Ovis aries: one gene and its partners. The protein of the gene in region 3 binds, or shares a complex with, the protein of the main gene of each other region. Links are inferred from orthologs where the notes say so. Each region holds a gene or a part of one and is shown on either strand. Other genes may lie near its edges. The genes, in order: USP39, CWC22, SNRPD3, PPIL2, CRNKL1, GEMIN2 and LSM7.

Region 1 (3,944 bases), on a different chromosome or scaffold from region 3:
CCTTGGAAGGAAAGTTATGACCAACTTAGGCAGCATAATAAAAAGCAGAGATATTATTTTGCCAACAAAGGTCCATCTAGTCAAGGGTATGGTTTTTCCAGTGGTCATGCATGGATGTGAGAGTTAGACTATAAAGAAAGCTGAGCGCTGAAGAACTGATGCTTTTGAACTGTGGTGTTGGAGAAGATTCTTGAGAGTCCGTTGGACTGCAAGGAGATCCAACCAGTCCATCCTAAACAAGATCAGTCCTGGGTGTTCACTGGTAGGACTGATATTGAAGCTGAAACTCCAATACTTGGGCCACCTGATGCAAAGAGCTGACTCATGGGAAAAGACCCTGATCCTGGGAAAGACTGAGGGCAGGAGGAGAAGGGGACGACAGAGGATGAGATGGCTGGATGGCATCACTGACTCGATGCACATGAATTTGAGTGAATTCGGGTAGCTGGTGATGGACAGGGAGGCCTGGTATGCTGTGGTTCATGGGGTCGCAGAGTCGGACACGACTGAGCGACTGAACTGAACTGGACACTTTAAATGCGCTTTTTATTGTATATCAATCACACCTTAGTAGAACTGTAAAGTAATTCAGGGTGTGGAAGGGGTCATGAAAGTCAGGTCCTGAAGCTTCAGCTTTATTGGCTCCACTCTCTAGTTTCTCTCTGCTCGTCATTCTCATTTTTCTGTGATTCCTCTAAATGTGGAATTAAGAGTCGCCAGGTTGCTCCAATAAGGGTATGACTTGGGAATGTCTCCTGGTTCTGTGCAGGGGTGTTGATCTTTGAGGCGCGGAGACTGTGGAGACGACTTCCCTATTCTCGTTTCGGGATACAAAGTGTCTTGAAGACACCGGGCGTCCAACGACAGCTTCTGTTATCCAGAAATCCCCAGTCAGTAAAAGGTTCTTGCCTCTTTAAACCGGAAAAGGGTAACTTGCAGAAGATCCGCCTACCGGTCTCCGGTGCGCACGCAGCAGCAAAGGAGCCACAAAAGGCACAGTACTTCCCCGAAGTTCTCTGCGGCGTGATTTGTCCCCGTCGGCGACTCGTAGAGAACCTTGGCCTCCATAACAGCGCCGCTTCTGATTGGCTGCTTGCCGCGCGCTCGGTCTTGTCTGGGGGCTGCGCCGGGCGACTCGGCCGGTAGTGGCGATGTCCAGCCGGTCCAAGCGGGAGTCTCGCGGTTCGACCCGCGGGAAGCGCGAGTCCGAGTCGCGGAGCAGCTCGGCTCGCGTCAAACGGGAACGAGATCGGGAGCGGGAGCCCGAGGCGCCGAGCTCCCGAGGCAGCCCGGTGCGCGTGAAGCGGGAGGTCGAGCCGGCGAGCGCGCGCGAGGCCCCGACGCCGGTAGTCCCGGCGGTGAGGGTGAAGCGGGAGCGCGAGGCCGACGAGGACTCGGAACCTGAGCGGGAGGTGCGAGGTGCGCGGGGCCGGGCGCGGGCTCCTCTCTCGCGTTCTTCTTTTTCTCTCTCCAACCTTCTCTCCCCGCGGGAAAGTCACACTTTACACGCGATCCGACTCGACTGCTATTTAATGAGGACCTTACTAGTCTTGGTAATCGTAGCTCTAATGTTTCTAGCAACTTTAATAATAACAGCAGCTTTCCTTTATCGGATACCTAGCTTCGGGGCCAGGCTCGTTGTTTTACAGGTGTTACCTCCTTGAGTTTTTACAAAACACCTGACGAATGAGCCCTGCTGTAATTCCTGAAATCAGACCATTCAGAGTGGAGAGCCTGAACTCTGGGCACTTGGACTACACTGCACTGTCACTTGGGGTTGTAGCTGCCAGGAGGTTTGGATTCTAGTCCGGCCTCTGAGATTGGGTCACTGGTTTGGGAATCTGGGTTTCATATGTCTGTCCCTCTTTAAGTCGATGGAAGGAGTACTGGAACCCATGAGCTTTGAGAGCCCTGTCAGTCACTTCTGTGACTGTACCCTCTGCCTTCTGCTGGACTCATTGTGCTTCTCCTGGGAATTGCTGGAGATCTTTTGGCCCAGCCTTGGTACTCTGACCTGTGTACAGTTTTCCGACTTGTTGATACCTTACCAGTCTCTAAGTAGGTTTCCATCACGTCTGAAGCTTTTCCTGTTTAAGCTCAGTTAATCTTTTCCATATCTGAACTTGGAACTTCTGATTTGAACATGTTTGGTATATACTTGTTTTCTGGTGAGTTAGCAGGTAAACATATCACTAGGCTACACTGTAGGGGCAGTGTTCTTTGTTCCGGGATTGTTCATTCTCCAAGACTATAATTCTGTCTCTGTGCCTGTTTATCTGTTTAAGATTATATTCTTGGGGAGTTCCCTGCTGGTCCAGTGGCTAAGACTCTACCCTCCCAGTGCAGGGGGCCTGGGTTTGATCCCTGGTCAGAGAACTACATGCCACTAGATCCCACATGCCACAGCTAAGAGTTTGCATGTTGCAGTGAAGATCGAAGAGCCTGCCTGCTGTAACTAAGACCTGGCACATCCGAATAAATAAAATAAATACAAGATTATACTCTTATATTAACTCTTAAATTTCTTGCTCAAGGTTTTGCATTTGACATATTTTTGTATTATGCACAGAGTCTAGGATCGCACCTTGCTCATGAAAAGTACTTGATAAATGTTCTGTGAATAATCTAGTAATTTCAGGGTATTCTTTGGTTTCTTTTCTTATATATTCTGTCAGCCTCAGGTTTCCCTTTCTCTGAAAGAGAAATTGTTTTCCAGATATTTTGCTTAGTTGTAGTCAGGAGATTGTTTTCTCTGGGACAGATTAAGATACCAGTTGTGGTTACTGTCTTCTTTTTTTCCTTTTATTTTTATTGTGAAATAGATCATAGGTACTAAGGTAGACTAAATGTCATGCACATGTATAGTTTAAAGAAGAGTGTGAGTATATAGCCTTAAATCTACCACTTGTCAAGGATTGTGAAGGGTCTGACCCTATTTGTACACTACCAGGTTAGCCTGGTAGTGGCTAACTTGGATGGATGGTAGTGGCTAACGGTTTCACGGATGCTGTTAGAAGACATTGAACTACTGGGCCTCAGACAGCATTCTGCAGCAATAACAGTAGCCAGAATATAGCATTGTCATGGTTTCCTAAGTTAGTTCCTATAGTGCGACATGATGAGAATCCATACTCACGGGAAGTGGGTGCACAAGACAACAACTCCGAACCTAGAGAACCTGAATCTTCTACAATGGGCCTTGAGCTTGCCTCGCCTTTGCTCTGTAAGGACACATGGTCTTTGACTTCCAAGGCTGTACAAACAAACTTCACTATGCCAATATCTTTGGCAAGATAGTCTGGAGGCGGTCTGTACCTCTGGTCACAGTATATGCAGAAACAGGAGAGAGCAATGCAGAATTGCCTCCTGACACTGTTCAGCTTCAGAAGTGGTGCTTAACTAGTACCTTGTTTAGTTGCTCAGTCGTGTCCGATTCCTTGCAACCCCACGGACTGCTGCACACCAGGCTTCCCTGTCCTTCACCATCTCCTGGAGCTTGCTCAGATTCATGTCCATTGAGTCGGTGATGCCATCCAACCATCTCATTCTCTGTTGCCCCTTTCTTCTCCTGCCCCCAATCTTTCCCAACATTAGGGTCTTTTCCAATGAGTTGGCTCTTTGCATTAGGTGGTCAAAGTATTGGAGCTTCAGCATCAGTCCTTCCAATGAATATTCAGGGTTGATTTTCTTTAGGATTGACTGGTTTGGTCTCCTTGCTCTCAGGGGACTCTCAAGAGCCTTCTCCAGCACCACAGTTAGAAAGCATTAATTCTTTGGCACTCAGCCTTCCTTATGGTCCAACTCTCACATCTGTACATAACTACTGGAAAAATCATAGCTTTGACTACACAGGCATTTGTCAGCAAGATGATGTCGCTCCTTTTTAATATGCTGTCTAGGTTTGTTATAGCTTTTTTCCAAGGAGCAATCATCTTTTAATTTCA
Region 2 (4,063 bases), on a different chromosome or scaffold from region 3:
ACCACATTCTAGACCAGAGGCTCCTGTCATGTCTAGAATAAACCTGTCCTGATAAACTAATTCAGGAAAGGACTCACAGGGTAGCTTTCAAGGTGAAAGGACTGAACTCTAGTCTGATCCACTTATGAGTTAAGCTCAAAGTCAAATTAAAGATGAACCTCCACAGGGTCTCACCCTCCCATTAGCCAACCTATTTCATAATCAAGGAACCCTTAGGTCCCCCGGCTGAGGCAGCCCACACTAGTTTTTTGGGTATCTGTTCACTGGGAAACGATTTAGCTTGGCTACAAACGGCAAAGCCTTGCTTTAATCACTGCTTCCTTCCCTGGTATATTACTCATGAAGAAAAGGCTTTGAAAGTATGAACTTCCTTGTAGGCCTTGAAATGTCTCTTTCAATGTCCGCTTGGGAAATGAATATACTGAGATAAAATATTTAGGCTGCAGGCTTATTAAAAAGTCTGGAGGTTGTTGAAACTAATCGGCCAAGAGGCCTTTTTGTTCCATTACTCTCCCATGCTAGGATTCTCAGATTTAAACCGAGAAGTAGAGAAATGCAACAAGAAAGCCCTCAAAGTCACTAGTGAGATCAGCTATATTAGCAAAATCCACTTCTTTCTTAAACTAGCTGTAGGCTAGCAGTGACTTACATCAAGTTAGGGATATACCTAACTTGATGATAGTGTGATCACTCACCTAGAGCCAGACATCCTGAAATGTGAAGTCAAGTAGGCCTTAGGAAGCATCACTACAAACAAAGCTAGTGGAGGTGATGGAATTCCCAGCCGAGCTATTTCAAGTCCTAAAATATGATGCTGTTAAAGTGCTGCATTCAATATGCCAACAAATTTGGAAAACTCAGCACTGGCCACAGGTCTGCAAAAGGTCAGTTTTCATTCCAATCCCTAAGAAAGGCAATGCCAAAGAATGATCAAACTACCACACAATTACACTCATCTCACATGATAGCAAAGTAATGCTCAAAATTCTCCAAGCCAGGCTTCAACAGTACATGAACTGAGAACTTCAAGATGTTCAAGCTGGATTTAGAGGAACCAGAGGATTAAATTGCTGGATGACAGAAAAAAATAGAGAGTTCCAGAAAAACATCTACTTCTGCTTTACTGATGATGCCAAAGCCTTTGACAGTGTGGATCACAACAAACTGGAAAATTCTGAACGAGATGAGAATACTAGACACTTTACCTGCCTCCTGAATAATCTGTATGCAGGTCAGGAAGCAACAGTTAGAACCGGACATGGAACAACAGATTGGTTCCAAATTGGAAAAGGAGTCTCTCAAGGCTCTATGTTGTCACTCTGCTTATTTAACTTATATGCAGAGTACATCATGCTAAATGGAGGGCTGGATGAAACACAAGGTGAGATCAAGACTGCTGGGAGAAATATCAATAACCTCAAATACCACACCACCCTCATGGCAGAAAGTGAGGAAGACCTAAAGAGCCTCTTGATGAAAGAGGAGAGTAAAAAAGTTGGCTTAAAACTCAACGTTCAAAACACAGATCATGGCATCCAGTCCCATCACTTCATGGCAAATAGACGGTGGAACAAAGGAACCAGTGACACATTTTGGGGGGGCTCCAAAATCACTGCAGCTGGTGACTGCAGCTACGAACTTAAAAGACGCTTGCTTCTTAGAAAAAAAGCTATGAAAAACCTAGACAGCATATTTAAAGCAGAGACATTACTTTGGCGACAAAGGTCAGTCTAGTCAAAGCTATGGTTTTTCCAGTAGTCATGTATGGATGTGAGAACTGGACCATTAAGAAAGCTAAGCGCCAAAGAATTGATGTTTCTGAACTGTGGTGTTGAAGAAGACTTTAGAGAATCCCTTGGCCAGCAAAGAGATCCAACCAGTCAATCCTAGAGGAAATCAGTCCTGAACATTCATTGGAAGGACTGACCTTGAAGCAGAAACTCTTAATATTTTGGCCACCTGATGCGAAGAGACGACTCAATGGAAAAGACCCTAATGCTGGGAAAGACTGAAATCAGGAGGAGAAAGGAACGAGGACGAGGTGGCTGGATGGCATCACTGACTCAATGGACACCAGTCTGAACAAACTCCGGGAGTGGTGAAGGACAGGGAAGCCCGGCGTGCTGCAGTCCATCGGGTCGCAAAGAGTAGGTAGGACACGACGGAAGGACTGAAAAACAAAGTTATGTAGGGATAAAGGATAACAAGAGGAAGAACACGAGTAATAATGAATGAACACTCCGCAGAACTACACGGTAAATGATGAAAAAGAAACGACTCATGAAATTTTGAACGAGAGAGAACTTCCACAGCTTTTTAATAAACCAGGGTTTATTAATCTCACACCTATGGTTCGGGGCCCAGGCATTAAGAAAGGGGCCTGGGGCCCAGAACTAAGAACTCGAGAGGCTCCAAGCGATCCGCGCCAAAAAACACACCCCACACTAAAGGAGAGGGTACCCGCGCTGCTGCTGGATTCCACAATAAAATCCCCCGCGGAGAGACAGCTCCAGGAACCCCCCCGGTCCGCGCAGGTACTCCCCATCCCACTCACTGGGGCTCTTCGGCCCCACCGACACTCACGGTCCAACCTCGCGGGCCACCGCGCGGCGGAAGACCCCAACGCCCCCGAAAACCTACCACGGCCGTACCAGCGAGCCCGCACCTACTCCTGGGGCCCCTTCATTTCCCACCCGGCCTGGCAGCCTGCCGCCCCAACTCCAGCTCGCTGCCTGCAGCGAGTCTACGGACTTCGGTAATTACCTGGAGCTCCACCGCGCCGCCATTACACCGGAAGCACGTCACTTCCCCTTCCCGGCCCGGCAGTAGGAAGAAGACGGACGTGAAACACATAATAACCTGACGTTAAACTGACTGTGATACGTTGTTGTATTAACTTATTTTAAACATTGTTTTGTAATACCAGATTCAGAGCCGTCGATCCGGCCACACGTTTTCCTTCCCAAGACGGAGACAAAAGAGACAACAAACTACAAAACCCAGAACCCACCGCCAATGTGGGCGGAAATGGCGCGCTCAGTTGTAGGCTGAGAAGGCAGCAATGCACGACGGGAATTATAGTTCTTTTGGATAAGGAGCATAGAGTTCGCTCTAGAAGCTCACCGGCAACCTCAGTTCAGTTCAGTTCAGTCGCTCAGTCGTGTCCGACTCTTTGCGACCCCATGAACCGCAGGACGCCAGGCCTCCCTGTCCATCACCAACTCCCGGAGTTCACTCAGACTCACGTCCATCGAGTCCGTGATGCCATCCATCCATCTCATCCTCTGTCTTCCCCTTCTCCTCCTGTCCCAATCCCTCCCAGCATCAGTCTTTTCCAATGAGTCATCTCTTCGCATGAGGTGGCCAAAGTACTGGAGTTTCAGCTTTAGCATCGTTCCTTCCAAAGAAATCCCACCGCTGATCTCCTTTAGAACGGACTGGTTGGATCTCCTTGCAGCCCAAGGACTCTCAAGAGCCTTGTCCAACACCACAGTTCAAAAGCATCAATTCTTTGGCGCTCAGCTTTCTTCACAGTCCAACTCTCACATCCATACATGACCACAGGAAAAACCATAGCCTCGACTAGACGGACCTTTGTTGGCAAAGTAATGTCTCTGCTTTTCAATATGCTATCTAGGTTGGTCATAACTTTTCTTCCAAGGAGTAAGCGTGTTTTAATTTCACTGGCAACCTGGTTCTGTCTTAAGATTTTTTTTAAATTTACTGTAAACTTATTTCTCTGCAGTTGACAAAAAAAGGAGACTTTAGTGTAGCCACTTTTCTGTGAAAATCTTAAGGAAACCAGACCTTTTAGACTTTTTACAGTAGTTAAACCAAGAACCAAAACAAAAATGTTACCAACTGTAACAAATATTAAGTGCCTACCAGGTTCCAAGATTGCAAACCTAAGTCAATAGGAAAATACTGGACCACCAACAGAGTGACGGAGAAGGCAATGGCACCCCACTCCAGTACTCTTGCCTGGAAAATCCCATGGACGGAGGAGCCTGGCAGGCTGCAGTCCATGGGGTCGGGAAGAGTTGGACACAACTGAGCGACTTCA
Region 3 (4,105 bases):
GTGGGTCCAACACGTCTTGGCAGAGCGATATTCAGCAGGTGAGTCCCGTAATCTCATTCTTCCCATTTCATGGATAAAACTATCACCCAAACCTGCTTGCTTGGCCAAGTATTTGCTCCGAGTGCAGTCACACGAGGTGCTTCTGCTAGGAAAATGGCAAATACCCAGAGTATGCGAGCGAAGACTCTGCTAGCTGCAAAGCACTGTGCAAACGCGCTGTGCGGGGCGGGGGCGCTGAGCCTGACGGCTCCGCTGAAGGCTGCGCTGCTGCTGCTGAGTCGCTTCAGTCGTGTCCGACTCTGTGCGACCCCACAGACCGCAGCCCGCCAGGCTCCCCGTCCACAGGATTTTCCAGGCAAGAGCGCTGGAGTGGGGTGCCACTGCCTCCTCCGGAAGGCTGTGCTGCTTCTCTTAAATGGGCCCAAAGTCCGTGAGAAGACAACCACGGGACTGGGAGCAGCGAAGGACGAGCAATCTAAACAGTCAGATTCTAGGTTTCATATTCTCAACCTCCAAGAGGCTCTCACTGATGCCCGCCTCTCTGGCACCTCTAATAGGGCCTGGCACAGCTTAGGCACTCGGTGAACCACCGCTGAGCAAGAACCTCAAGGAGCCCCAGCCGCCCGCGCCCTGCCCTCCGAGGCTCCGGCCCGCCCCGGCCCCGCACAGAGCAGGGCACCTGGCAGTTCATGTTGTCCTCCGCCTCGATGAGCTTGCCCCGATACACCTCGCCAGTGTTCGTCTCACACGTCACGATGTGGCCCTCGGCCTCGTGGAGGACTTTGATCGGCACTCCGATAGACATCCCGGCAGGAAGAGAGTTCTGCGGTGAGAGAGAGACAGCAGTTAGCTCATCTTCCGACGCCCAAGAACGCATGTGCAAACACCACAACCCCTCAAGGCTGACACTCTGGAAAACTCAGCAAAGTTGCCAGAGGTGCACTAGTTTTTTTTTTAGCTGAATTCTGAGCTTGAAGGACCCATCTGGCAAACACGTGCAGGGTGTGAGTGGGGAGGAACAGGGCCTCAACAGGGGGAAAGCTGACGGGAAAGAGCTGCCTCCCATCTTCCTTCCACCACAGGGCTCTTGAGTGCGCATGTTAAGTCGCTTTTCTGACTCTCTGCGACCCCATGGACTGTAGCCCACCAGGTTCCTCTGTCCGTGGGATTCTCCAGGCAACAATACTGGAGTGGGCTGCCACGCCCTTTTCCAGGGGATCTTCCCCACCCAGGGATGGAGCCCACGTCTCTTACATCTCCTGCACTGGCAAGAGGTCTTTTTAACCACTAGCGCCATCTGGGAAGCTCAGACGGGGCTGTGCGTTTAATTCAACCCATTAAGCACTCTGACCGTCTACTTACTTCACCATTAAGCTAAAGAGAAAATATCCAAGTGTTCACAAGGTGGCGGCGTGCTACAAGTGGGAAACGCTCACCCTGGAGGGAAAATATAACCAGGGAGAACCCCGACTTGATCTAATTAAGAGAGAAAAAAAGCAAGTGGATTTTTTCAATCCCAAGACGGGTGTATAAAACGAAAACTTCTGTAAAATGAAATGCTTTCTGCTCTCCAGTAATCAAGGCACGTCGCAGCCATCTGGTATTCCAGCCTTCCAAATGCAAATTTTTAAGCCCAGGTAAAAACCATACTGGCTTTTTGGCAGCTGTCCGTTACTTCCTGTAAGTGCTGAGGAGCTGGGGGATGTCAGAAGCACAAGAGGCGGTCCCTCGTACCTTAACTTTAGGGTAAAGGAGGAATTAGGCTGTGAACAGCCGAAAAGCAGGAATTGGCCCCAGATAGCTGAGATGCATGTGAAAGAAAAGATTTCAGGAAGCCCGGACTCTTGCATCTTCCCAAAGAACAGAAAAGTATTAAATCTCTTCAGGCCGGAGATCTGGTCTCCATTACTCAACAGTCATCTTTTAATATTCAGATTACCTGCCCCTTGCTGCAAACTTCTTTGTAGCCTGACTCCACCCCACCCAACATTTCTCTCTCCCAGGGGTCGCCTGAAATCCTGTCTTCCGGGCTCGGAGTCCTCATGATTCCCACCGAATAAACCTAATTCTCAGCTTTTAGGTGGCGGTATTTTTTCGGTTGACACGCAGCAGGAGGTCGAAAGAGAGGAAAAGGACCGGGAGAGGTTAGGAAAAAACAGGTTCCATTGCTGAGGACAACGCTGAACCGCAGCTGGGGGAACCGGGGCAGCACAGAGACTACCCCACGGAAGGGCAGCCGGAGTTACAAGACGCTGCAACACGATTTAGACAGAAGCAAGGAAATGTGATAACCTGTGTTTCCAGCGTTAGGGGATCAGGTCCTGGAAGGGGGAGGGAGGCAGAGATGCCAAGGGCTTTGAAAAGAAATCAGCCAAGTAGGGATCTGGGGGGAAGGTGGCCACCAGCCAGGAACGATCTCAAGACCACTGCCTGGATACTTCGAGAAACACCGGCCTGGAGAGGTTCGGAAACCGAAGAGCAAGTACTTCGGGGAAAAAGCTAACGAACGCACCTCCAGGCGCTTGGGAGGCGCCGCTGGGGGTCGGGGTGGCCCAGCTCCCCGCGGCTCTCCCTCCACGAGCACCGCAGGGCTCCTCGGCGGCGCGTCCTCCTCCAGCCCCCCGGCCCCCCGCGGGACCTCGGCCTAGCCCTCGCCCTCCCCGCACCCCCGGCCCCGTCCTCACCGGCTCCGGGCTCCTCTTTCAGAGGCGGCAGGGCAGACGGAACTCCGGCGACTGCGAAGGCGTGAGGGCGCGAATGGCGGGCCGCGCGCTCCCAGAATACCACGCGTTCCCAAAATGCCTCGCGCAGGGCCCGCCCCCTTCCTTTACCCGAGTGGCGGCGGGCGACGTCTCTCGCCTTCGCGTTCATCCTTACCGCGCCGGCTGGGGAACCCGAGCTCGGGTACAATAGTTCCGGGCCCGGGGAAGAGCGGGGCTGATGACCGGACCCAGGTGCCGCCGGAAACAGCGACCCTCGGGCCGGCCCGGGCCGAGGGGGACTCGCGGTCCCCAGCGCCCGACGCCAGACGCGGGCTGGACAGCGAGGCGGGCGGCGGCGGCGGCGGGGGCCCGGGGCCGGGACCTGCCCCCGCAGGGGAAGCCTGGGAAGCCGACGGCGCCGGGGAAGGGGTGCCCCGAGCGAGGCGAGTGCCCCCGGCGTGCGGACAGGGAGAGCGGGGACCCGGAGCAGCGGGCCGGGGGGCCGCCGGCGTGGGAGCCGGGGCGGGCCGGGGCGGGCCGGGGCGGGGCCTGGGGCCGCCGCCGCCTCCCGCCCCCGCTCCCCCCGGGGCGCTGGTGCTGGCCGCCCGGGGAGCCGGCGCGCGCCGGCCGCGCGCTCCCGTCCCCAGTCGACGCCAGAGCTGCAGCCCGCGCCGGGCCGGGGCCATGGGAGCCCCGCGCCGCCCGGGTCATGAGGACGGAGGTGGACGCGCAGGCAGCGGGGCCGCCGCTCGAGCCCGGTCAGTGTGGTCCCCCCGTCACCCCGGGGATCGCGGTGGGCGCGGGGCAGGGCCCCGGGGATCGGGGGGCGGCCCTGACCCCGGGGATCGCGGTGGGCGCCGGGCAGGGCCCCGGGGATCGGGGGGCGGCCCTGACCCCGGGGATCGCGGTGGGCGCGGGGCAGGGCCCTGGGGATCGGGGGGCGGCCCTGACCCCGGGGATCGCGGTGGGCGCGGGGCAGGGCCCCGGGGATCGGGGGGCGGCCCTGACCCCGGGGATCGCGGTGGGCGCGGGGCAGGGCCCTGGGGATCGGGGATCCGGGATCAGGGTTGGGGGGCAGCCCTCAGCCTGGGAATCGAGTTTGGGGGGGAACCCCGCCCGAGCGCCGGGCAGGGTCCGGCCGCGCGACCTTGGGCCGACCGCCGCCGCGGCCCCGGCTGTTGAGCTCTGAGCAAAACCTGGGCAGGTGTGCGCTCCGGCGGGTCCCGCCGGGCCGGCTACGGTCAGTTGGGGTTTGTTTGTTTTTCCTGATAACTCCCTGAGCAGGGACACCCCTGGGCATCTCTCGCTTGCGGTCATGGAGGGAAGGAGGGTCCTGGTTGAGCGGCCGGGGCGGGGGGAGGGGTCACCTTTCCCTGGAGCGAAAAGTCCTCTTTGGAGCTGCT
Region 4 (3,500 bases), about 580 kb from region 3:
CAAATTCATACTAACTTCCTAGGTATGACGAGTGTCTCGTTTCTTAAGTCCTTAGCTTTTAGAGACACACTCAAATACCTAAGCGTGAACCGGCACGAAGGCACCGACACAGCGGAGGGGACCACAGATAAACTCAGATGCCCGACGGCGGCTGGAGGGAAGCTAGGGCTGGAGACAGGCCGCACGCAAACTCGACTCTCTCGACCCTGAACTATCAGCTAAGACACAAGAGGGCGCTCTCTAGATCAAGGGTGGTAAAAAATGTAAAAAGGCACAGTTGAGGGGGATTTCCTGGGGGTCCAGTGGCTAAGACTCCATGCTCCCAATGCAAGTTCAATCCCTGGTCCGGGAGCTAGATGCCACATGCTCCAACCAAGACACGGCGCAGCCAAGTAAGTAATTAAAAGAAACCAAGTTGGGTCAGATCTTCCTTGCTCGAATCTGAGCCCGAGACACTGCTGGGCTCCCCGCCTCAGCTTGCCCCAGACCACAGCCCCTGCCCCTGCTCCACTCATACCGGGCAAGTAAGAATGGGCCCCGCGCCGCAGGGCCTGTCACGGCTGGGCCTCTGCCTGAAGCGCTCTCCCCACAGGGCACGCCCCACCTGTCTGCAGAGCCCCCCTCAAACTCCATCAGCTGGCCCCCAGCCCCTCTCCCTTGGCCCACTTCACCTCTGACCCCAGGACAGGCCGAGTCTGACCCACCGCAGTGACCTCATTTCCAAAGCCCGCCCTCTCATCTCAGGAGAGGCTTGGCCCTCACTGTCTGCACGTGGCAGGCAGGCACGCAGTGAACGCTTGTGAAGGAGCCACTCTCGGAGCGAGGAGCTCCCCAGCACCCAGACTGTCCGGGCCGCCAAGGCCGGCTGGCTCCTCACTGCTGTCCGCACCTGCTGGGGGCTGGCCGGCCTCCAAGCATTCCCGGAACGCACCCACCAGCAAACCCTGACCCAGCCCTCCCCCAGGGCACCTGCACACGCCCAGGCCCATAGGGAACTGAGAACAAGGCCAGTGCTCGCGGAGGCTGCCTCCACACAGGCGTCCGGCTAGCAAGAGCAGTGCAGGGCACGCAGGGGTGCAGCACGGGGCCCCGGGACTGGGCCGGGGCGCACGACCAATGCCGAGCCGAGCGGAAAGAGCCCAAGAGCCCCCAGCCCCACGCCCAGCCGCCCACCTGGGCCTCAGCCTGAGCAGCTCCGTCTCCAGTGACACCTGGACCACAGCTGGGCAGGGCCTGTGCCCTCAGGGGCCCAGCTCAGCCCACACGGCCCAAGTGCCCCACAGTGAAGGCTCATGCCCTCAACTGTGCCTTTTTAAATTTTTTACCACCCTTGATCTAGAGAGCGCCCTCTTGGCCTTGTGTCTTAATTGATGATTGCAGGGTCGAGAGAGCCGAGTTTGTGTGCCACCCATCTCCAGCCCCAGCTTCCCTCCGGCCGCTGTCGGGCGTCTGAGTTTATCTGTTCCCAGTTTTAAACTACCTGTGCCTCTAGGAAGACAGCATAACATTTTTGATAAACTGAAAGCAAGCGTCTGGCCTGCTCGGAAGGTAAGAACCTGGAGAGAGGTGGGGCTCGGGTAACCCGAGCAGGCCGGAAAGGCTGCTCACCTTCACTGTTCTTCGCAAAGTTCAACTTGACCAGGGACCGCCCATCCAGTTTCTGCAAGAAGCAGAATCAATGAAAATACAGAAGCAGCTAGCGTGCGGAGGTGCTGAGGCCACCAGGCCAGTGTGGCAGGCAGCAGCTCTCTCTGGCCTAACTCCCGCCCAGAACAAGGGTCTCCACCCCTGGGTCTCACAGCACTGGCGCTGCTCCCTGACACCCCCAGGCCCCTGTCCTCCTCTGAGGTAGCACCCTGGTCCCTGGTCCTGCTCCGCTACAGAGCCGGCCCCGCACCGCAGCGCTAACACCCCGCCGGGAGTGAACTGCAGGCACGCCACGAGGGAACGGAGAGCAGCCTGCGCGGCGGAACCGGGCCCAGGCCTGTGGCAGGTGTGCAGGGCTGCGGCGGGAGGGGCCGATCCTGCGTTCTCTCCAGCACGGCACACCGAGCACGCCAGCAGTGGGAAGCTAGCTTCCACACAGCCCGTAAGGAGCATCGCCCAGAGGGGTGGGACGCCCAGCGCCTCCGAGGGTCTAGGACCCGAATCCCCTTCACACCCACCAGCAGGGGCCCAGAATGCTTCGACTCCTCCAGGGCAACGTGCCAGGAGTGACCAGGCCGAAAACGCAGCCCCGGGGCCGGCAGGCTGGGGGCCACTGCACGTGCGCCTGGCCAGCGTTGGTAACAGCAGGGGATGCCAAAGCCCGCGGTGCCGCCGCAGGAGGCTGCCCCTGTGTGACCCCACATGTGGGCACGCGGGGGGCATGCTCCACGGAGGACAGGCGTGGGGAAGGGAGGGGGCACGGGCGCGTGTGACACTAGAGCGTTCGCCGGCCTCACCGAAGCTCCTGCAGGGCCACCTACCTCTCCGTTGCTGGGGTTGGTCCCGTACTTCTTAAGCCAAGGAACGATGTTCCTGGAGGAAGAGACCAAGCGTGTCAGACGGCGACGGGCCAGAGCCGGGGACTGGGCTGGGGGGCGGCTGCCCAGGGGCTGGGGGCTGCTCCGCCCTCTCTCTCCGCCTCATCACGGGAAGGAGTGCTTCTGGCCGCGCAGGCACCAGTGGCCGCTTGGGGTTTCTCCTGCCGTTGTGCACAAGCGTGGACAAACACCACTAATGGCAAGCCCTCCACACACGTTGCTGCGGGTACCGGGCCAGCCTCGGAACCACACTCCGCACAGTTCTGGACGACGGGGGCGAAACGCTCTCGCTGTGACTGGAGAGTGGGTCTGGAACCAGCCTCGCGGTGTGATCTCTACCAGGTTCCCACAAACACCTCCCAGGCAAAAGGGGCCCAGCCTGACAGCGCCCGTCTCCCCTTCATCTGAAGCGCTTTCCGCATTTTCTGAAATGAGGCTGTCACGAGGAACGGCAGAAGCCTGCGTCCTCGGAACACAGACGGGGCACGAGGCTTCCGAGGGCAGCACCAGAGAGGCAGGCACCTCGACTACGGCTCCGCCTTCGTGACGTGAAAGCTACACACTCTCCAATATTCCAACAGCTAGGGGGTGCGGATCAGAACGCTGGGGGCCCCCAGGCAGAGGTCAGAGCGGTGCTGCCCCTCCCATCCCCAAGAGGCCCACCCAGGGCTCTGGAGGCTGCAGGCCCGCAGCGTGGCCCTGCCTGCAGCCCACACCCTCCCGCCGCCCTGTCTCAGGTGGGTGCCAGCAACCTCACCACATCTGCCAGCTTAGACGTCAAGGGGAAACTCACAGCAAGTCAAAGACGACACCTTCGGGAGTGCACACCGGGTAGGTGAAGGGCTGCAGAGAGAGACTGAGGGGCAGCAGAGTCACTCCTGAGCGCCGCCCTCTCCCGACCCAGAGACGCTGGCGGGCGGCCGTGGTCGGGGGCCCCGCCCGCTCCTCGCTGCGCAGCGGGCCCCGCTCCTGCAT
Region 5 (4,207 bases), on a different chromosome or scaffold from region 3:
AACTCCTTATTGCCAAATTTGGACTCAAATTGAAGAAAGTAGGGAAAACCGCTAGACCATTCAGGTATGACCTAAATCAAATCTCTTATGATTATACAGTGGAAGTGAGAAATAGATTTAAAGGACTAGATCTGATACATAGAGTGCCTGATGAACTATGGAATGAAGTTCGTGACAGGAGACAGGGATCAAGACCATCCCCATGGAAAAGAAATGCAAAAAAACAAAATGGCTGTCTGGGGAGGCCTTACAAATAGCTGTGAAAAGAAAGAGAGGCGAAAAGCAAAGGAGAAAAGGAAAGATATAAGCATCTGAATGCAGAGTTCCAGAGAATAGCAAGAAGAGATAAGAAAGCCTTCTTCAGCGATCAATGCAAAGAAATAGAGGAAAAGAACAGAATGGGAAAGACTAGAGATCTCTTCAAGAAAATTAGAGATACCAAGGGAACATTTCATGCAAAGATGGGCTCGATAAAGGACAGAAATGGTATGGACCTAACAGAAGCAGAAGATATTAAGAAGAGGTGGCAACAATACACAGAAGAACTGTACAAAAAAGATCTTCATGACCCAGATAATCACGATGATGTGATCACTCACCTAGAGCCAGAAATTCTGGAATGTGAAGTCAAAGTGGGCCTTAGAAAGCATCGCTACGCACAAAGCTAGTGGAGGTGATGGAATTCCAGTTGAGCTGTTTCAAATCCTGAAAAATGATGCTGTGAAAGTGCTGCACTCAATATGCCAGCAAATTTGGAAAACTCAGCAGTGGCCACAGGACTGGAAAAGGTCAGTTTTCATTCCAGTCCCAAAGAAAGACAATGCCAAAGACTGCTCAAACTACCGCACAATTGCACTCATCTCACACGCTAGCAAAGTAATGCTCAAAATTCTCCAAGCCAGGCTTCAGCAATACATGAACTGTGAACTTTCTGATGTTCAAGCTGTTTTTAGAAAAGGCAGAGGAACCAGAGATCAAATTGCCAACATCCGCTGGATCATCAAAAAAGCAAGAGAGTTCCAGAAAAACATCTATTTCTGCTTTATTGACTATGCCAAAGCCTTTGACTGTGTGGATCACAATAAACTGTGGAAAATCCTGAAAGAGATGGGAATACAGACCACCTGACCTGCCTCTTGAGAAATCTGTATGCAGGTCAGGAAGCAGCAGTTAGAACTGGACATGGAACAACAGACTGGTTCCAAATAGGAAAAGGAGTACGTCAAGGCTGTATATTGTTACCCTGCTTATTTAACGTATATGCAGAGTACATCATGAGAAATGCTGGGCTGGAAGAAACACAAGCTGGAATCAAGATTGCTGGGAGAAATATCAATAACCTCAGATATGCAGATGACACCAACCTTATGGCAGAAAGTGAAGAGGAACTAAAAAGCCTCTTGATGAAAGTGAAAGTGGAAAGGAAAAAGTTGGCCTAAAGCTCAACATTCAGAAAACGAAGTTCATGGCATCTGGTCCCATCACTTCATGGGAAATAGATGGGAAACAGTGGAAACAGTGTCAGACTTTATTTTGGGGGGCTCCAAAATCACTGCAGATGGTGACTGCAGCCATGAAATTAAAAGACGCTTACTCCTTGGAAGAAAAGTTATGACCAATCTAGATAGCATATTCAAAAGCAGAGACATTCTTTGCCGACTAAGGTCCATTAGTCAAGGCTATGGTTTTTCCTGTGGTCATGTATGGATGTGAGAGTTGGACTGTGAAGAATTGATGCTTTTGAACTGTGGTGTTGGAGAAGATTCCTGAGAGTCCCTTGGACTGCAAGAAGATCCAGCCAGTCCATTCTGAAGGAGATCAGCCCTGGGATTTCTTTGGAAGGAATGATGCTCAAGCTGAAACTGCAGTACTTTGGCCACCTCATGCGAAGAGTTGACTTATTGGAAAAGACTCTGATGCTGGGAGGGATTGGGGGCAGGAGGAGAAGGGGACGACAGAGGATGAGATGTCTGGATGGCATCACGGACTCGATGGACGTGAGTCTGAGTGAACTCCGGGAGTTGGTGATGGACAGGGAGGCCTGGCGTGCTGCGATTCATGGGGTCGCAAAGAGTCGGACACAACTGAGTGACTGAACTGAACTGAACTGAACTTTAGTATTAACCGCCGACGGAAAAAGTGAGATCAACCAAAATACAGCCCTTGTCATCTCTTTTCACTCCTTCCACTCTCACCCGGGGTTGACTCCTATTACAGCCTTCAGCACAGCTTAATCATCACTTCTTGCGCTGGAGACCCCTCACACGAGCCCAGGAAGCCACGGCCTATTCCTCTGGGGCTCAGGAGCCTTTGCAAGGCTGCAGTTCTACCCTTACGCAGGGTAGCTCGTAGCCCGCTCTACCCGGAGCCCCAGCGACTAGCGAGTGTCTGTTTCAGCGTGTCTGTGCTGAAGAACCTCTCTCCTCCCCCAGATAAACACTTTTTAACACGACGACCACGCGGACGCGGAGGTGACCCCCATCCCCGGCTGGCCCTCCCCGCCCGCGGCCCCCGCTCAGGTAGGGAGGACCAGCTCCCGGGACCACACGCCTCCCGCCCCAGGGACCACACGCCTCCCGCCCCAGGCACCACCAAGGCCGGGCCAACCCCATCCCCGGCCTCCTCCCACAAGGCCCCGAGCCGCTCACCTTGGCCACTTTGGGGATCCTTTGCTTCCCGGCAGCGGTGGAAGCCGCCATGGCTGCAGCGGCGACCGCGGGCGAGCCCGGGACCACAGAACCTTCCCCGAGGGCTCGCCCACACCGCGCAACTTTCCGACAACAAGCGGGATCCCGGAACCGGAAGCGGAACTGGCTGGGGCGACCTTTGACCTCTTTCCCGCGCCGTGACGGAGTCAACGTCGTTTCTGTGGTAACCGGGCTGCGCGTCCTCTTCGGAGCCTGGGACTCGGGAGTTGCAGGTGAGGTGAGGAGTGCTGGCTGCATCCGGGCCGTCAGGGGCACATCCTCAGATCGCCTCTGGGATTAGGATGACCGTGCGAGGACGGGTGGATCCGTGAAATCGCGGTATCCCGCAAGGGGACAGGAACCCGGCTACCGTGCGGACGCTCGAGGGCGGGGGTGGGGTAGAAAACTACCTCCTGGCATACCTAGCGGCAAGCTGCTGACCTCCTCGGCCGCCCTGAGCTGGGGTGCATTCTGGGCTTTGTAGGCCCGAATGGTCAACTGCCCCTTGGTTTCCGGACAGTTGTGACCAAATAATTCTATGGCTTATAAATGAAAGTGACTGAAGGAATTTTAAAGCCAGATAACAGAAAAAAGTGAAAATAAATCATCGGAGTACTAGCAAATAACCCAGCCTTATAATGTCAGATAAGCAATGTAATATATCAATCTTAAATAATATCAGATAAACAGATATTTAAAATTTTCTGTCATTGTGTCTTAATGTCAATTTTCGTAGCGCCAGTTCGCTTAACTTTTGTTGTTATTGAGTCGCGAATTCAGGTCCCACTCTTTGCGACCTCATGGACTGTAGCACACCAGGCTTCTCTATCCTCCACTATCTCCTGTAATTTGCTGAAATTTATGTCCGTTGAGTCAGTGATTGCATCTAACCATCTCACCCTCTACCACCTCCTTTTCCTTTTGCCTTCAGTCTTTCCCAGCATCAGGTCTTTTCCACTGACTTGGCTCTCTGAATATAGTGGCCAAAGTATTGGAGCTTCAGCTTCATTCCTTCCAATGAACACTCAGGGTTGATTTCCTTTAGGACTGACTGGTTTGATCTCCATGCAGTTCAAGTGACTCTCAAGAGGCTTGTCCAGCACCACAACTAGAAAGTATAAATTCTATGGTGATCAGCCTTCCTTATGGTCCAGCTCTCAAATCTGTGCATGACTATGGAGAAAACCATAGCTCTGACCATACAGACATTTGTGGCAAAGTGATATCTCTGCTTTTTAATATATTGTCTAGGTTTGTCATAGCTTTCCTTTCAAGGAGCAAGAATCTTTTAATTTCATGGCTGCAGTTATCATCCTGCAGTGATTTTGGAGCCCGAGGGGAAAAAATATCTGTCACTGCTTCCATGTTTTCCCCTTCTATTTGCCACGAAGTGATGGGACTGGATGCCATGTTTTTTTAATGTTGAGATTCAAGCCAGCTTTTTCACTCTCCTCTTTCATCCTCATCAAGAGGCTCTTTAGTTCATCTTCACTTTCTGCCATTAGAGTGGTATCATTTGT
Region 6 (3,500 bases), on a different chromosome or scaffold from region 3:
GCCAAATTAAAAAATTTTGAAAAGTAACATACATTAGGGATATAATCCAATAGAAGAAATGCTATATAAGAAACAGCATTAAATTAGCTCTCAGAGATCTGAATCTTTCTACACTCCCACCACCATGCATTAAGACTGCCTGTTTCCCCAGCCCTTATTTATTAACAGTGTGTCAAACTTGTTTCACCAATGTTAACTGAAAAATGCCAGCTCAGTGGAGATGTAAGTAATGTTTTTATTTTAAGAGTTTGGGCATCTTCTCATATAAGAACAATTTGCATTTCCTTCCTGTGAAATGTCTCTTTACACCCTTTGCTTGTTTTTGTTTTTTAAATTGAGGTCTTGGGCCTTTTTTAGTGATTTTCAGAGCTTTTACATTTAGGGGATAAACTAATTTTAAATGAGAAAAACAAAACGTGGCACCAAAGAGAAAACAATAAATACCTATTCAACACAACAGACAACATGGTATAGGGAGTTACCAGTAATGCAGATATATGAACATCTGCAAGCTTGGGGGCAGGCGAATCCTGAAGGACAAGAAGCAGCTGGCCACATACTTTATTATTAAAGTCATATGAAATATAACTAATCTTTATATTTATAAAATATAAATTAAACATAGCCTCAACATTTCACCACCAGAATATGCAATTTATTAAACATTTTTAAGCACCTGAGTTTTTAAGCACCTGAGTTTTCCTTTGTTTCTCTGATTACTCAGAACTCACTGTTTGACCCTTGCCTAATCATTAAAAAAAAAAAAGTCCTATCTAGCTCAAAAAATTATTAAACAGCTAAAGCACACACTGTTTTAGAAAATAGGCTGTTATACATCAGTCATATATTAGTTGCTTTTTAAATTTCTTTTACAACCTTGGAAAACAAAAAAGCTATTATGCTTCTATGTTTAGCAAATGGGCTTACAAAAACGGTCAGGAGACTGGATTTGGCCTAAGCTATATTCTGCTAAGTCTCTATACTAAATCTCGCTCCAAAACTATGACCTGTTTTTTGTTTGTTTAGTCACAGTATCACTTACTTGTACATAATCGATTCCAGGACTTTCACTTGCGGCTGGTCCAATAGCCCCTTCAGCACATAACCTTTCACCTAGACAAAATTTTTTCCAGCCTTCTTCATCTTCACATTTTGGCTAAAAGAAAAAAAAAAAAGAATTTACTTATGTATTTTCTTTAATACTGAACACTGAAAAAACAAGTGAGGATTCCTTCATATTCCCACCATCTCACACAAACATACAGTGCTTGTAATGGAGTGAACTGTGTCCCCTCAAAATTCCTATGCTGAGATCCTCACCTCCAGCATGTGCTGGTTAGGAGACTGAGTCTTTACAGCAATGATTAAGTTAAAATGAGGTGGGTAGAGTGGGTCCTAATCTAATCTGACTGACATTCTTGTGGGAAAGAGGAAATTCCGATAAAAAGACATTAGGGATGTGTACGCACACAGAAGGCCACGTGGGGACCCAGCTAGGTGGCCATCTGCAAGCCAGAGACAGTGGCCTTGAGAGAAACCTGCTGACACCTCGATCTTAGCCCTCTAACCCACAAAGCTGTGAGAATACCTTACTGTTTGGTAAGCCGCTCCATCTGTGGTGGTTTGTTACAGCAGTCCTAGCAAACCAGAACAGGACCCAGGTGGCCACACCATATGTGGGACATTTTCAGTCTGGATCATACTTTAATGAACACTGACAAGCAAGGAAGTGCTCAAAAGAGGGTGATAAAGACGTAAAATTGATATAAAAAAAAATACACTAAGAATGCTTACAAGAATGAAGCCTATTTATCCCAAGGAAGGAGACATAATTACATACTTCACATAAAAGGCTGTCCAATCAAAGAGGGAATAGATTTATTCTACATTGTCAGATGAAAAAAGCATGACCTTTCAGCTCAACCCTAACAGAACCTAAATTTTTTAAATTTATTTATAGTTGATTTATAATAGAGTTAGTTTCAGGTGTATAGCAAAATGATTCAGTTAACAGAACAATTTTTATTTGGGCACATCACCTCACAAATCATTCTACATACATATGCAGTTTTCCCCCCTGAGGAGAAAGAGCTTTCATTAGATCCTCAGAAGGAGAACAAAACCCCTAATAGGTAAAAGCCTACTGTCCTGGAACAATGTTTTCCCATTACTCCATTAGGTCAGAGACTGTTTCTGCTTCAGGTAGCACTGAAAATCCTAATTATTACATACGGTTGGTGTTTAACAAATGATTAGATCAATCAATCAATCAATGTTCATATTTACATAGTTGCCTTCAGAGGTTGCTTTAAAAATTCTTCATCTTATTATTTACATGTTTCACATCTGCCATGATGAATATATGTGTTACTGCTATGTAATATTCCATTGTTTTGACGGAGGATCTTCATTTATTAAATCAATCAATTATGCTGTCATTTCTCTTTTGACAAAATTATATCACCATCCTGTTACTGGTGCAGCTTCTTTTTGAATTATATAGGTACCCAAAAGTCCTTACCTTGAGCAAGGAAAAAAATGTATCTACCTACCTACCGTCCTCTCCTTCTTCTTACCAGGAGACCTCACCGTACAGTGAAAGGCTTTCGAATCAGACAAAGTTTGGTCTCTATATCAGCTATACTTTTTATGAGTTAAATGATCTTGGGCAAGTGATGTTAGTGTCTTTCACACTTTTCCTAGAGCAGAGCATCCAACAAGTATACAGAAGCATATAGAGAGGTTACACTGAATCTCTCAGATTTCAGCTGGTAGTCTTAGGCCATGAGAACAGCTTCCTCCATTTATCCCAAAGTGACACCATTTAAAACACGTTAGGAAGCACTGCCTAGAAGAAGCTTCTAAAATCTGAAATCTGTGGGGAATTCCCTGGTGGGCCAACGGTTAGGACTCCATGCTTACACTACATGGGTTTGATCCCTGGTGAGGGAACCAAGATCCCACGGGGAGCACAGCATGGCCAAAAGAACCCCCTGAAATCTATGAACCACCTGAAACAATGAGCAAAATTGTATGAATAGGTGTGTTTTCCCCTCTCTGAAAATAAACAGCTTTCATTTGATTCTCCAGAATATGAGACTCCATAAGAGGTTAAAGAGGTTCCCTGGTTGCTCAGCAGTAAAGAATCGGCCTGCCAATGCAGGAGTCTTGGCTTCAATCCCTGGGTTGGAAAGATCCCCTGGAGAAGGAAATGGCAACCCACTCCAGTATTCTTCCCTGGGAAATCCCATGGACAGAGGAGTCTGGTGGGCTACAGGCCATAGGGTTGCAAAGAGTCAGACACAATTGAGTGACAAACACTTTCACTTTTTCAATGGAGATACAGACATAGGATACAGACTTGTGGACACAGTGTGAGAAGCAGAAGGTGGGAAGAATTGGGAGAGCAGCATGGAACATATAAATTACTATGTAAAATAGACAGCCAGTAGAAATTTGCTGGATGAGACAAGAAACTCAAATCAGGTGCTCTGTGACAA
Region 7 (4,202 bases), on a different chromosome or scaffold from region 3:
ACTGGCTTATCGGAATCACCAAGCAGAGAAGAGAGATGGACAAGCATAAGATCAATGGTCATTCTGGGTAAAGTGCGAGCTGCACGAGGGTGTCAGCACATGAAATTGGGGTGCCCTCACTGGTGAGGGACCACCCCCCAGCCAGACGCAGGCGTGGCAGCAGCCTCTTCAGGGACAGGACAGATGCAGGACCAAAGGGGGAGCAAGGGAAGGGCTCCCAGGAGACGAGCAGTGACAGCTGACCCCACACCATTGCCACTGCAACAGTCGGCAAATCCGCCTGCGCCTGTTTTGTAAACAGTTTAACTAGAGCCCGGCCCCGCTCATTTGGTAAATGTCGCTGTGGCAGCTCAGCTGCTGAATGGTGGAGTTGAGGAGCTGCGACAGAGACCGTCTGGCCAGCACAGCTGAAAATGTTCCCTGTCTGGTCTTCTGCAGAACAAGTCTGCCAGGCCTGCCTGAGTGCGAGGCCCTGGCTCTGCTTCCTCTGCTGTTGACAGCCCTCCTCAACCCTGTGACGGTGCTCACCAAGTGGGGTGATGGAGAGTGACAAATCCCAGAATCCATCTGGGCACTTGGCCCCGGGTTGGGTAGTGAGCCCACACCTGTGGATCCTCCCTTCTTACTGGGGGAGGTGCCGCAGCAGGTGGGTGGGATTTTCAGATGAATCCAGCATTCCCCCACCCCTCCCTCTGATGTGAGATGGGACCCTCGATCAGACGTCAGTCTGTGGTCAGGCTGTAACAGAGGGCTTCGTGGATGTGATCAAGGTCCATGAATCAGTCCACTCTTAGTGGATCTAAAGGGAGGCTATGCTGGGTGGGCCTGACCTACAGGTGAGCCATTAAAAGGATGGGCCCTTTCTGAAAAGAGAAGTTGAAAAAATTAGATTTTTCTGCTAGCCTTGAAGGAGTCAACTGCCATGCTGTGGACAGTGTCTGTGGCAGAGGCAGTGGGCAGCCTCTAGGAGCCCAGAGGGTCCCTGGCCAACACTTGCCAGAAAACGAGGACCCCGGGCCTGAGATACAGGCTCCCAGAGATGCTCCCTTACTGCAACCTCGTCAGAGACCTGAGCCTGAGGCACCTGGAGTCTGGAACCACAGGTGCTGTGAGATAAAAATGGGTTGTTGAAGCACAGAAAATGAACAGAAGGGACTTCCCTGGTGGTCCAAGTGGTTAAGAATTCATTCTGCAGTACAGCAAATGTGGGTTCCATCCTTGGTCTTACATTCCATGGAGCAACTAAGCCCATATGGCATAATTAGAGAGACCTGGCCTGACATCTGAGACCTTATGCAGCTAAATTAATTAAAAAAAGACAAACACAAGCGCCTTGAGAAGCAGGAGCCCCATCTCCTTGTACATCCCAGAACCGGCATGGTGCCAGTGTTTGTTCAGATTCAGAGCCTCACTGGGCTGGGTACCTAGACGGGCAGGCACTGTGTTTTTAGCCACTCTGATGCTACCCAGGCGTCCACATCTCAGAGGAGGAGTCGTCTGAATCACCATCTTACCAACAAAGAAACTGAAGATCAGAGATAGCTGAATAAGTGAAGCACTGGGTGCTGACTAAGTGTCAGGAACTTGGCTAATGACATTACCCTTTAATTTCACCACCACTGCTGAGGTAAGTGGAGTTAACAGCCTCTGACAGATGAGACAGACTCAGAGATTATAGCGACTTGCCCAAAGTCCCACAGCCAGTGAGCTGGGGCTCTGCCCTGGACGGCACTCTCCACGTAACCTTGCATCATCTTTCCTGCCAGTCTCCTCACGAGATCGCAGAGGGAGATGCAGTTAAAGCCTCACAGTAACTGAAAAAAACCTGCCAAGCCCTGACAGCTGTTACCAGGAGCTTATACCAAAGGACCCTGACTTGGGATGCAGAGTCAAGCAGAGCTTCCCAAAGCAGCTGAGAGCTGCCTGCCTCACTCAAAAGCAAAAGGCTCATTCTTTACCCTGGAACAGTGGTGAACAAGGAGATGAGGTTTGCTTTCAAAAGGTGCCTCAGGTGGCTTCGTGTAAATTGAGTATAGGGCCTGGGTTCTCAACTGGGGCAATTCTGCCCCTGCCAGGGAACACCAGGCCAGGTCTGGGATGCCTGTGGTCATCAGAACTAGAAGGCTCCTGGAATCGAGTGGATGGGACCAGAGATGCTGCTCCACACCCTACAGCGCCCAGGACGGCCCCCTACAGAGAACAATACGGTCTTAATGTCAGCAGTGCTGAAACTGAGAAACCCTGGTGCTGAGGGGGCCCATGGGGGGCTGGGGCAGCCGCCAGGGTGAGACAAGACCCAAAGGAAGCAGAGACCTGAATCCTAGCCCCTGTGGCTGCGGGCGAGGTTTGGGCCCCTTTGCGTGCCTCAGTTTTCCCACCTGCAAAAGGGGTGTAACCGTTCCTATACGCCGGCGCCGGCAGCAGGCCGGACGAGTTGTCCGAGCCAAGCGCCTAAAGCGCGGCCCAGGCATCCGTTACCGGTACCGCCTCCCGTTACTCCTCGTGGACTGTGGAGGGGGAGGGCAGCGGGGCCTCACCTTCTCTGCCTCCCTGGAACTTCACTCGGATGGTCTTGTCGATGTACTTGGATAGATCCAAGATGCTCTCTTTCTTTTTCTTCTCTTTGTCCTGCAGGGGATGCAGAACGCTGTGAAGCGGGGAGCACGGCTGGACTCTCCCCAGTCAACCCCACCAGCCCCGCGAACCCCGCCAGCCCGGCGAACCCCGCCAGCCCGGCGAAACCCGCCAACCCCACCAGCAGCGCCGCACGCTCACCGCCATCTTGTCGCGCCGCGTCGCTATGCGCAGGCGCCGCCACTGCGCCCTTTGTACCTACCCCTGCGCGCATGCGCGAAAGACGCAGGGCGCCTGCGCGGCGCTCTGCGCCGGGGCGTTGCTGGGAAACATCTGCCGACGCCTGTGGCGGGGACCGGGCGACATGGCGGCGGCGGCAGCGGCGGCGGCGCTGGCGCGGCTCGCAGCGGCCTTCCTTCTCCTCGCGGCCCAGGTGAGGGCGGCGCCGACCCCGTTGGCCTCGCCGGCCACGGTGCCCCGGCTTCTCACCCCTCCCTGGCCCCGCGCAGAACCCCGCCCTGACCGGCCTGGGGCCAGCTTAGGGGATCCGCGCCCCCGGTGCCGGCAACCCGTGGGCCTGGGGCCCGACCGTGACCTTGCGGGTCTGTCCCCCGGCCGGTCTCCCTTCTCTGTCTGGACGCCGTTCCCAGCCGTGGTGTCACTGGGTTCCGCCCGGACCTAAAGTTTTAGGTCCCACTACCCCGCTTCCGCCCCGGCCCCTGCTGGTCTGTCTCGGGGTCTCCAACCGCCTCTGGGACTCCCCTCTCTGACTCCGTGGCCTTAGTCGGGGGCTACCCCTCTCTGACCCTGGCATCCCCTTGAAAGCGATACTACCCCCATTCCCCGTGGTTGTAGTCAACTGCCCAGCGTGGCACCCAGTGACTGGCGGCGTCGAGAAGCGTCCAGGAGCCCAGCCCTGGAATGGGGTCGAATCGCCGCCCCATCTTTTTCTGCCGTGACCTTGGCAGGGGAGTTCCCGCTTTGAGTTGGTCGTCTGCAAAAGGAGGATAAGTGTACAGTGCGCAGTCAGCGAGATGATGTAGGGGATCCCGGACGTGGGGCATGCTACTTGTTTGTCACTTAACCTCAAGGGTCGCCACTGGGGGACAGACCTGGAGATGGCTGATGTACGTTACCTTGAGTGCATTTTTTATTTTCCAAACCCTCCCTCTCTCCCAAATTCCATAACTCCGGAAATGGTGCCCCCCCCACCAACAGCCCTACAAACTGGGCCATTAACGTTGCCCTTTCTGTGCCAGCCCCCCAACCTCTGCTTCAGGCTGCTGGCTTCTCTCCAAGGCCGCTTTTGTCCCCCAAACTCCCAGTTCATTTTCAGCCCTGCAGGAGGGATCTCTTTCAAAGTGTGTCAGATCTTGTGTCCAAATGAGAGCTTTCTGGTGCCACTGACACATTCAGGAGGACTCTGTGATCCGGCTGACAGGAAACCATCCTTTGTTTCCAACTCTAGCATATTAAAGGCACTTTGCTCACTGGGCTCTGTTTCCCTGAAACCTAACTCCCTCCAACGTTGTGTTTCTGGTCTCAGCTTAGGGGTGCCACATTCCAGCAGCTTTCTGACCCACCTCCTCCCCAGGTGCTTTGCCAGCTCCCTGTATTTCCCCCAGCCC

The links.
Region 1: SNRPD3 (region 3) and USP39 share a complex: the UniProt entries of both Homo sapiens proteins name them as parts of the U4/U6-U5 tri-snRNP complex. The link is inferred for Ovis aries from reciprocal best matches to the Homo sapiens genes SNRPD3 and USP39.
Region 2: SNRPD3 (region 3) and CWC22 share a complex: the UniProt entries of both Homo sapiens proteins name them as parts of the minor spliceosome. The link is inferred for Ovis aries from reciprocal best matches to the Homo sapiens genes SNRPD3 and CWC22.
Region 4: SNRPD3 (region 3) and PPIL2 share a complex: the UniProt entries of both Homo sapiens proteins name them as parts of the minor spliceosome. The link is inferred for Ovis aries from reciprocal best matches to the Homo sapiens genes SNRPD3 and PPIL2.
Region 5: SNRPD3 (region 3) and CRNKL1 share a complex: the UniProt entries of both Homo sapiens proteins name them as parts of the minor spliceosome. The link is inferred for Ovis aries from reciprocal best matches to the Homo sapiens genes SNRPD3 and CRNKL1.
Region 6: SNRPD3 (region 3) and GEMIN2 share a complex: the UniProt entries of both Homo sapiens proteins name them as parts of the SMN-Sm complex. The link is inferred for Ovis aries from reciprocal best matches to the Homo sapiens genes SNRPD3 and GEMIN2.
Region 7: SNRPD3 (region 3) and LSM7 share a complex: the UniProt entries of both Homo sapiens proteins name them as parts of the U4/U6-U5 tri-snRNP complex. The link is inferred for Ovis aries from reciprocal best matches to the Homo sapiens genes SNRPD3 and LSM7.

What each region holds. Positions count from the first base shown.
Region 1 is NC_056056.1:57,457,922-57,461,865, forward strand, and holds the start of USP39 (ubiquitin carboxyl-terminal hydrolase 39), read left to right. Parts: upstream 1-1,144; 5' UTR 1,145-1,151; coding exon 1,152-1,419; intron 1,420-3,944.
Region 2 is NC_056055.1:130,058,717-130,062,779, reverse strand, and holds the start of CWC22 (pre-mRNA-splicing factor CWC22 homolog), read right to left. Parts: upstream 2,801-4,063; 5' UTR 1,928-2,800; intron 1-1,927. UniProt on the Homo sapiens protein: Required for pre-mRNA splicing as component of the spliceosome. As a component of the minor spliceosome, involved in the splicing of U12-type introns in pre-mRNAs. Promotes exon-junction complex (EJC) assembly.
Region 3 is NC_056070.1:71,547,568-71,551,672, forward strand, and holds the start of SNRPD3 (small nuclear ribonucleoprotein Sm D3), read right to left. Parts: upstream 2,801-4,105; 5' UTR 2,685-2,800; intron 824-2,684; 5' UTR 806-823; coding exon 680-805; intron 1-679. Other genes in the region: protein GUCD1, read left to right, coding at 2,941-3,145. UniProt on the Homo sapiens protein: Plays a role in pre-mRNA splicing as a core component of the spliceosomal U1, U2, U4 and U5 small nuclear ribonucleoproteins (snRNPs), the building blocks of the spliceosome.
Region 4 is NC_056070.1:72,128,805-72,132,304, forward strand, and holds part of PPIL2 (RING-type E3 ubiquitin-protein ligase PPIL2), read right to left. Parts: intron 3,382-3,500; coding exon 3,319-3,381; intron 2,521-3,318; coding exon 2,469-2,520; intron 1,661-2,468; coding exon 1,609-1,660; intron 1-1,608. UniProt on the Homo sapiens protein: Has a ubiquitin-protein ligase activity acting as an E3 ubiquitin protein ligase or as an ubiquitin-ubiquitin ligase promoting elongation of ubiquitin chains on substrates.
Region 5 is NC_056066.1:39,182,176-39,186,382, forward strand, and holds the start of CRNKL1 (crooked neck-like protein 1), read right to left. Parts: upstream 2,801-4,207; 5' UTR 2,700-2,800; coding exon 2,649-2,699; intron 1-2,648. UniProt on the Homo sapiens protein: Involved in pre-mRNA splicing process. As a component of the minor spliceosome, involved in the splicing of U12-type introns in pre-mRNAs.
Region 6 is NC_056071.1:46,865,174-46,868,673, reverse strand, and holds part of GEMIN2 (gem-associated protein 2), read right to left. Parts: intron 1,157-3,500; coding exon 1,043-1,156; intron 1-1,042. UniProt on the Homo sapiens protein: The SMN complex catalyzes the assembly of small nuclear ribonucleoproteins (snRNPs), the building blocks of the spliceosome, and thereby plays an important role in the splicing of cellular pre-mRNAs.
Region 7 is NC_056058.1:19,032,414-19,036,615, reverse strand, and holds the start of LSM7 (U6 snRNA-associated Sm-like protein LSm7), read right to left. Parts: upstream 2,801-4,202; 5' UTR 2,782-2,800; coding exon 2,776-2,781; intron 2,629-2,775; coding exon 2,538-2,628; intron 6-2,537; coding exon 1-5. Other genes in the region: SPPL2B (signal peptide peptidase-like 2B), read left to right, coding at 2,801-3,007. UniProt on the Homo sapiens protein: Plays a role in pre-mRNA splicing as component of the U4/U6-U5 tri-snRNP complex that is involved in spliceosome assembly, and as component of the precatalytic spliceosome (spliceosome B complex).